Xenopus tropicalis: one gene and its partner. The protein of the gene in region 1 interacts with the protein of each later gene in a biochemical or structural test. Links are inferred from orthologs where the notes say so. Each region holds a gene or a part of one and is shown on either strand. Other genes may lie near its edges. The genes, in order: nmur1 and nmu.

Region 1 (3,650 bases):
GTCTGGACCCTTGTTGCTCCACCAGTTGCTTGCCATTTACTTCCCCCGTAGTCATCACGCATGTGCACGCATGCAAGGGCAACGTGGCTGGGCACCCGACGTGGCCCAGCCCTGGATGCCCATAGACCTGAGGGTCCCCAACCTTTTTTACTTGTGAGCTACAGTCAAATGTAAAAAGAGTTGGGGAGCAACACAAGCATCATAAAAGTTCATGGTGGTGCAAATATGGGCTGTGATTGCCTATTTGGTAGCCTCTATGCACACTATCAGGAGGCTTACAGGAGGCTTTGTTTGGTAGTACATCTTGTTTTTATTCAACTGAAACTTGCTGCCAAGCCAGGAACTGAAAAATAAGCACCTGCTTTGGGGACATTGGGAGCAACATCCAAGGGGTTGGTTTGCACATCTAAAATTGCCACCTTTCTGGGTGGGATGATGAAATTAAGGGGAGCTAAGGGTATGTAATAGGGTGGGGTGATATCAGGAGCACAAGACTATTGGCCAGACTGGGAGAATTTTGCCCCGGTTTCTCCAGATAAACGTTTAAACCAGACTGCCCAAGATAAAACTTTGCTGTTCAAAATTGGAAAGGTGGCAACCCTAACCCTATGTTCCAGTGGTCTAACTGTTTCTATGAATTATAGAATGTATTTTATTATTTCAGTAACAGTAGATATTTTGGATTAGTTTTTTTTGCTTTACAGTGCTTTAGTCAAGAAAACCAGTCTTCTTTAAACTTCTTTAAATGAGACCACACCTTGCTTAAATGAACATTTTCCTGTCCATCAGCATTCTATCTGTTTCTCTGAATTCTTATGTTATGAGTTTGACTTTTATACTAAGTCTCACTGCATTTTAGCTAGACATGTCATAACAAACCTGTAGGAAATAAACACGAATCTAATGAATGCTAAGCACTGCACTGCGTATGTTGCAACCCAGCTTATAAAACCAGCCTATAAATATCGGCAAGCAAAGTGATTGTCTCTTCCTGAGTGGCTACCATACGGAAAGCTGTGCACTGTCATTGTCATTGAGTGATAGCAACTTATCTGGGCTTATAGACCCTGCAATTCATCCAGGTGATGTTTGTATCTTGCTGCTTGAAGCTCTGGCCTCTCTCACTATGACAGCCCATGGCTGCACTCCTCTTTTATCTGTGGAATTTTTTGTCAGTTTTTGTCCTTATTAGGAAGCCATCCCCAGCCTCTTGGTTCTGAGAGAAATATCCCAGCTGGATGAACAGAAGTGACGACAGTAATAAATCTTGGAAATATTAACACCTTGAGCACTATCAGAGATTTGATTTCATTATCATTTATTTTTGTAGTGCCAACAAGCTTTACAACAATTCAATTAAATAAGTGTGTGTTTTTACTTTTTAGAGAAACAATAGATGGTGCGATACTTATGTTGCTTACCAGCCTCTACTGAAAGTGAAAATATACATCTTTCATGCACATGTCTGGTCATAACTGGTGATTATAAACAGTTTTATGTAATTTTTTTAGATGGACTGTTAATCTTAAACTGAATCTAAAACTGAAGGCAATAAAATGCTCTTTTTAAAATTTATATACATTTATATACATATATATGCAAATGTGTTACTCATCTAGTAACCCATAGCAACTAACCAACTAACCAAAAAAAATCTGATTATTTGCTATGGTTTACTAGATGAGGGCAAACTCAAGGGGACTCATTTATAAGCACTAGGCAATTTTGCACCTAGGCAGTAATTCATAACAAATTATCAGTCATTTTTTCAAACAGCTGCATGTAGAACAATGAAAGCAGGCATCTGATTGGTTGCCATGGGTTACTGCCTAGATGTGAATTTGCCCAGTATTTATAAATGACCTCTAAGATGATTTATAACATCACCCTGAATGGGCCCTGCTCTTGTAAAATCTCTGTTTGCGTAGGTCCATGTAAGCTGTAGTGCTCACAGCAACGGACCTTGTTCTACATACAATTTACCCATACTTATTACCATATGTTTTCGATTATTTTACTCAATGCATAATTTCTAAATATTTCTTTTCATTGACTGCTGCTGCCTTCTTCTAATCATGCACTAAATACTAATAGAAGAAAAAAATGATCTGCCAAAATCCTTAGAAAGTGTCATCGATTGCTCCAGAGATCATTGTATGTCCTTCTCAATACCTTGGTGCAGATTGGCTTTATAGACTCTTTACACCATTGGTACACATAGGAGATTTGCCTGCCATGTCTTTCCATTCCAGGAAACATAGTTGCTTAAAACAGCAGGAAAATATCAAACCTGCTGGCATTTTTATGCAGTTCCCATGGTTACTGTATATATTGGTGTATTTGTGCCTTGTTGGTATTACAGGCCCTTTTGGATTATGAATGCCCAGCAAAGTGTTGTTACCAGTAATTATAATGAATCTGCATCTGTTTGAAGAATTGTACAAAGACACATCAATGTGAAGTGGATGTTCACAAATGTTTGTTTTTTTCACTGCAGTTATCTTAGTGGTGGTATTTGGGATCTGCTGGGCACCCTTTCACACGGAACGACTGATGTGGAGTTTCATAAATGACTGGACAGAAGTGATGCACCAAATATTTAGCTTTGTCCATGTGATCTCTGGGGTGTTATTCTACCTGAGTTCTGTGGTTAACCCTATCCTGTACAACCTACTGTCCACACGATTCCGTGAGATGTTCAAGGAGGTCATGTGCCATGGAAGGACAAAAAGGCTGGGTTCCAGAAGGTCTTCCCCAAGTGTCACGCGTGTAACCACTCGCAGCACAGTGTGTGAAAATGTCCCTGGAAATGGATTACGATTCTCTGATGTTGATGAGTTTGTTGTATATTTAGAGTGTGATAACGTGGCAAAGAATTAGCCAATTTTCCATATTAACCAAAACTACCTGATATCATGCATACAACATCTGGCATACTGTAGATCATTGCACACCTGTTTCATACCATGTGCTTTTCTTCCTTCTATAGCACTTAGTGATGAGTGAATCTGTCCTGTTTTGTCTCACACTGCAGTTGCAAAACTGCTGAAAAATGTGCGAAACGGCAAAAGATTTGCAAAATATTGCTTCTGCACAATTTTGTTTTTTTGCAGCGACCATGACTTTTTCCTCACTCAGCAGATTTTTGTTGTGGTGAGTTTTTGCATCAGTTTTGCGAAAAAAAATTTGCGAAATGTGGAATATCACAGCAAATCCATGACTGGCAAAAATTTCACTTTTTGACCATGACAAAAGTACACTACATATCTATGGGGGGAGGCTAACCAGCATATACATTATGTCTAAAAAATTACTGTAAATTTGTGAGGTAATTTATAGTAGTGGGGGAAAGAGAGAAGCCAAAATAACTGGGAATGATTACCAGCATAAACCCCTACAGTCCTGCACATGTTCATGTTAAATGTCAAAGCAGATTCCATAGAGGTTAACAATGCAATGTGGAATCTAAACAATATATGAACAAATCTGTTCCCGGAAAAAATTTATAGCAAACAAATATGTTAGCAAAAATAACAATGTTTGTTCTAAATAAATGTATTTTGTTTGTGTTTGTGTTTGAATAGCAGGAAAATCAATTTGAAAAGACAGTAGTCACAATTATTAACACAGCAAAACAATGTTGTTGAGTT
Region 2 (4,494 bases), on another chromosome or scaffold:
CTGCTGACTAAAGGGTTAAACCAAAGAGGGAAAATATACTGTATATACTGTATATGTAACTAATGGTCCTATTTCCCTGCTGCTTAAATGGACAAGTTAAGGGAGCTCTGTGATAAAAAGAATGTTGCTATGGAGCGTGTATTTCCCACAGCACAATCTTAAACCTGGAAACAATGTGGCAAAAGCCAGAATACAGAGCCAGAGAGGGGGTGATCAAACACTGGTTTAAACTACAATTGCATTAACAAACAATGACAAAATGTACTGAATGTATAATGGAAAGATGCTTAGAATTACTTATTAGTTTTTGGGTGAAGAGCCCAATTCTGTATAAAGAATGGCCTGGTCTCTTATATTGCAGCATGTACAGGTATAGGATCTGTTATCCAGAAAGCTCAAAATTACAGGAAGGAAACCTCCCATACAGTACATTGTAATCAAATAATTACTTGCAACTCACCAATTTAACAAAAAGTAAGAAAAAGTAGAAATTGTGCTTCTAAATTGTCCATGGGAACCTACTATACACAGCAGCCTTGTAAATAAATAGAAAGTACCAATAAAATGAAATACATCCATCTCCCATAGACTCCATTGTAATCAAATAATGATTTCCTTTTTCTTTGTAATTATAAAATAGTACATTGTACTTGATCCCAACTCATTGGAGGCAAAACAATCCAGTTGGGTTTAATTAACATTGAAATGATTTTTTTAAGAAAATTTGAGGTATGGAAATCAAAATTAAAGAAAGAGCCCTTTTCTGAAAAACCCCAGGTCCCAAGCATTCTGGATAACAGGTACAGTGTACCATACCTTTATAAGTGAGAACAGTATTTCCAATCATTTCACCAGTCTGCAGAAGTAAGCATTCATAATACTAATGGCAAGTTAATGTATGCACATCTGTAACTGTCATTAATACAAGAAAACTAAACCAAACCTTTTACCAACACCTACAACTGAGAAGGTAATAATTCCCATTTAATATATACAAATGGTAAAAGGTTTCTATTTATATTGCTCACATAGGCCAAAAGTTAAAGCTCTAGAACAGGAGTCCCCAACCTTTTATACGTGTGAGCCACATTCAAATGGCAAAAGTTTTGGGGAGCAACACAAACATCACAATAGTTCAGGGGGTTGGCAAATAAAAGCTATGATTGGCTATTTGGTAGCCCCCATGTAGACTGGCATTACACTAGGTTTTTATACAACTGAAACCGGTCTTCCAGTCAGAAATTCAAAAATAAGCACCTGCTTAGAAGCCACTGGGAGCAACATTCAATGGGTTGGTGAGCAACATGTTGCCCCCGAGCCACTGGTTAGGTATCACTGCCCTAGAAACTCTAGATACTAACTAAAAAAGCCAATACTATTCCTTTGACTGAATAACAGCCCAGTTGTGTTATTTGTTGATCGCCAATGCTAACAATTGAATCCCCACAAAATGCACCCACAAACCCAAATTTTATAGTTGAAACAAAAGGCACTTGTCAGGATGCTGGTAATTAGAGGGAAGCCTATGGCTGGGTCTGGCACTGATGCACACAGCATGATGAAGGCAGGAGTGTGGGAGAGAAGTTGCTAATGACGCATTCTGACTGTGCGACTGGGCTCCTCCACCTTCATCTGCAGCCTTGTGGTTGGGTTATAAAAGTGCGGAGCAGCCAGAGGAGCAGCAGTGATAACTGCAGGCAGGTGGGAAGATTGCAGGGACTCCAAGCAAGCACTGTAACAAGGAAATCTTCCTCCTCCCTGCCAAGCCTCCTTACAGCACAGGGACAGCTTTGCTAGGAAGTTATGCTGGCTCCAAACCGGTGCAACAAACTGCCTGCTCTGCAATATGCTGCCAATATAGGAACACCACAGAGTTGCCCCCAGCTGCACAGCTTCAAATGGCAGCCTCCCTCCTGGCTGCTTTTTGCCATCCTCTTGGTATCTTGGGCTGCCAGCTGTAAAGGTAAGCTATTTCTTTTAGTCTTCACATCAGCAACACGTGTAAGTACTGTGTGGCTCAGCTTTGTGCCAAGCAACTGATGCTTTGTTCCATGTCTGTGCTGCTAAACACTCTATAACTTCTCTTTATCATGCACAATTTCAGCTGTCTGAACTACAGAACCTTTCAAGACTGCTTAAGCTCAGCCAAGCTGGAAAGCAACACTTTAAACACTTTAATAGAAACATAAAAACATTAAAATAAATGTAATTTCAAGCAATTTTATAGAATACATTAATTATGGATAAAACTGCAAATAAAAGCAGTTTGTATCTGCACTGCTGGTCCTGTCTCTTGAAACAATGTAGTAGAATTCAGCCGTGCGTGCTTCTTCGCAGGTCTGTAAAACATCTGGCTACTGCTACATTGTTTCAAAAGGCAGAACCACTACGACAGAGAAGAGACAGGGACACACAGCGTTAAATAGCACTTATATTTACAAATAATGTTAGAGCCACTGAAATAATGTATACTGGAAAGTTGCTTAGAAATGTAATTTTATCTTAGGCGAAAATTCTCATTGTGACAGAATTTAACATTTTTCATATTCCTTGTTTACTTTTTCTCACTATAACAACTTTTCATCATGCAATATTATTTCCTTATCAGTTTCTGATTGAGATATAGTACAGGAATGGGACCTGTTATACAGAATGTTCACGACGTGTTAGTTTACTAAAAAGGATTTAAACATTAAATAAACTCATTTAGCATTGATTTGCCCCTAATATGGATTAATGATATGTTAGTTGGGATCAAGTACAATGTACTGTTTTATTATTACAGTGAAAAAGGAAATCTGTTTTATAATGATGAATTATTTGATTAAAATGTAGTTTATGGGAAATGGTCTTCCCATAATTTGAAGCTTTCTGGATGACAGGTTTCTGAATAATGGATCCCATACTTGTATATGAAATTGTCCTCTACCATTACTGGCATTTGGTGTTGTAATATATGGCTAGCAATCAGTCCAACCCTCTGACCTCTACATAAACACATGGAGAAACCTTCTTTCCTGTGTTTGCCCATAATCTGGTTTCTGCATCTTATGGTCATTAAAATGCAATGCATTAAAGAAACTGGCAAGGGACACATGGTTACAATGAAATTATTAGAAGCAATGGTGGGCAGACACTAATTAGTCACTAATATTGTCCCTCTTTTTGATTTACATTCCTTTTTGTTCATTCAATAGAAGTGTGTGTTTTAATAATAATAATAATAATAATAATAATAATAATAATAATGTCCTCTTTGGGAATACATTCTCACTAATGTCTCAAGAGATGAAATTAACTAATTACAGTTTGAATCTACAATAAACTTTGCACCAAATGGGGCACCGGTGTATATGAAAAAGTGGAAGCATTTCAGTTTAAGAATAGGGTTGTATTTTAACCCCCTTGTGCCCAAGACGTTGCAGTCACAGCAAACCGCGTCTGGCTTCCTGGATTTTATATTTTCCGAGGTTGTTTAAGTGTCTTATCGTCCACAAATTTAAAGTATTGTACAAATTACATTGCATAGACATACAGGGATAGGTATGGAACCTGCTATCTAGAATGCTTGGGACCTGGGGTTTTACGGTTAGGGGTCTTTACATAATTTGGATCTCCGTACTTTTAAGTCTAGTTAAAAATAAATGTAAACATTAAATTAACTCCAAAGGCTTGTTTTGCCTACAATAAGAATTTATTTACTTGGGATCAAGTACCATTTTATTATTATTATTACAGAGAAAAAGAGAATATGTTTTAAAATGTTGCGTTATTTGATGAAAAAGGTGTCTGTGGGAGATAACCTTCCTGTAATTTTGTGCTTTCTGGATAAAAGGTTTCCAGATAATGAATCCCATGCTTGTATGCCCCTATAGCTCTGTTTTCTGACATGCTTTTCCAAATAAGAGTAATTTAAAGTACCTTAATGATATACAGGTATGGGATCCATTATCTGGAAACCTGTTATCCAGAAAGCTCCAAATGATGGAAACACCATCTCCCATAGACTCCTTTTCAAATAATTCAAATTGTAAAAAATGGTTTTCTTTCTCTTTGTAACAATAAAACAGTACCTTGCACTTGGGCATATCCCAGATCTCAAGCATTCTGGATAACAGATCCCATACCTGTACCTGTTATGCATTTTTCAAAGGGGGGCATTGAGGAAGCAGTATATATTTAAATAAGCATGATTCTGTTTAATCACAAATAGACAAAAATAGGTATGGGATGTATTGTGGGTTCATATTCAGCTGCTACACTGTGGGTTTACTCACTGAGCTGCCAGCTCTGTCATTTTTTGTTAAACAGGGATGTCCAATCTACATCTTCTTAGCACTTGTTGATCTACAGCTCCCAGAATCAGTTGCTTGTACTTGTACATTAACTACAGCTGGAGGGCAGCAGATATACTTTCACCATACTGGAAGGTTGTATTTTAATGACAGCTGGCGAACTACAGACATGCTTTCACAGTTCTGGGACTTGTTCCGC

Evidence for each region.
Region 2: the proteins of nmur1 (region 1) and nmu form a complex in vitro, tested with the Homo sapiens proteins (2 studies listed by BioGRID). The link is inferred for Xenopus tropicalis from reciprocal best matches to the Homo sapiens genes NMUR1 and NMU.

Annotation. Positions count from the first base shown.
Region 1 is NC_030681.2:100,931,763-100,935,412, reverse strand, and holds the end of nmur1 (neuromedin-U receptor 1), read left to right. Parts: intron 1-2,497; coding exon 2,498-2,880; 3' UTR 2,881-3,066; downstream 3,067-3,650. UniProt on the Homo sapiens protein: Receptor for the neuromedin-U and neuromedin-S neuropeptides.
Region 2 is NC_030677.2:40,473,453-40,477,946, reverse strand, and holds the start of nmu (neuromedin-U), read left to right. Parts: upstream 1-1,671; 5' UTR 1,672-1,803; coding exon 1,804-1,963; intron 1,964-4,494.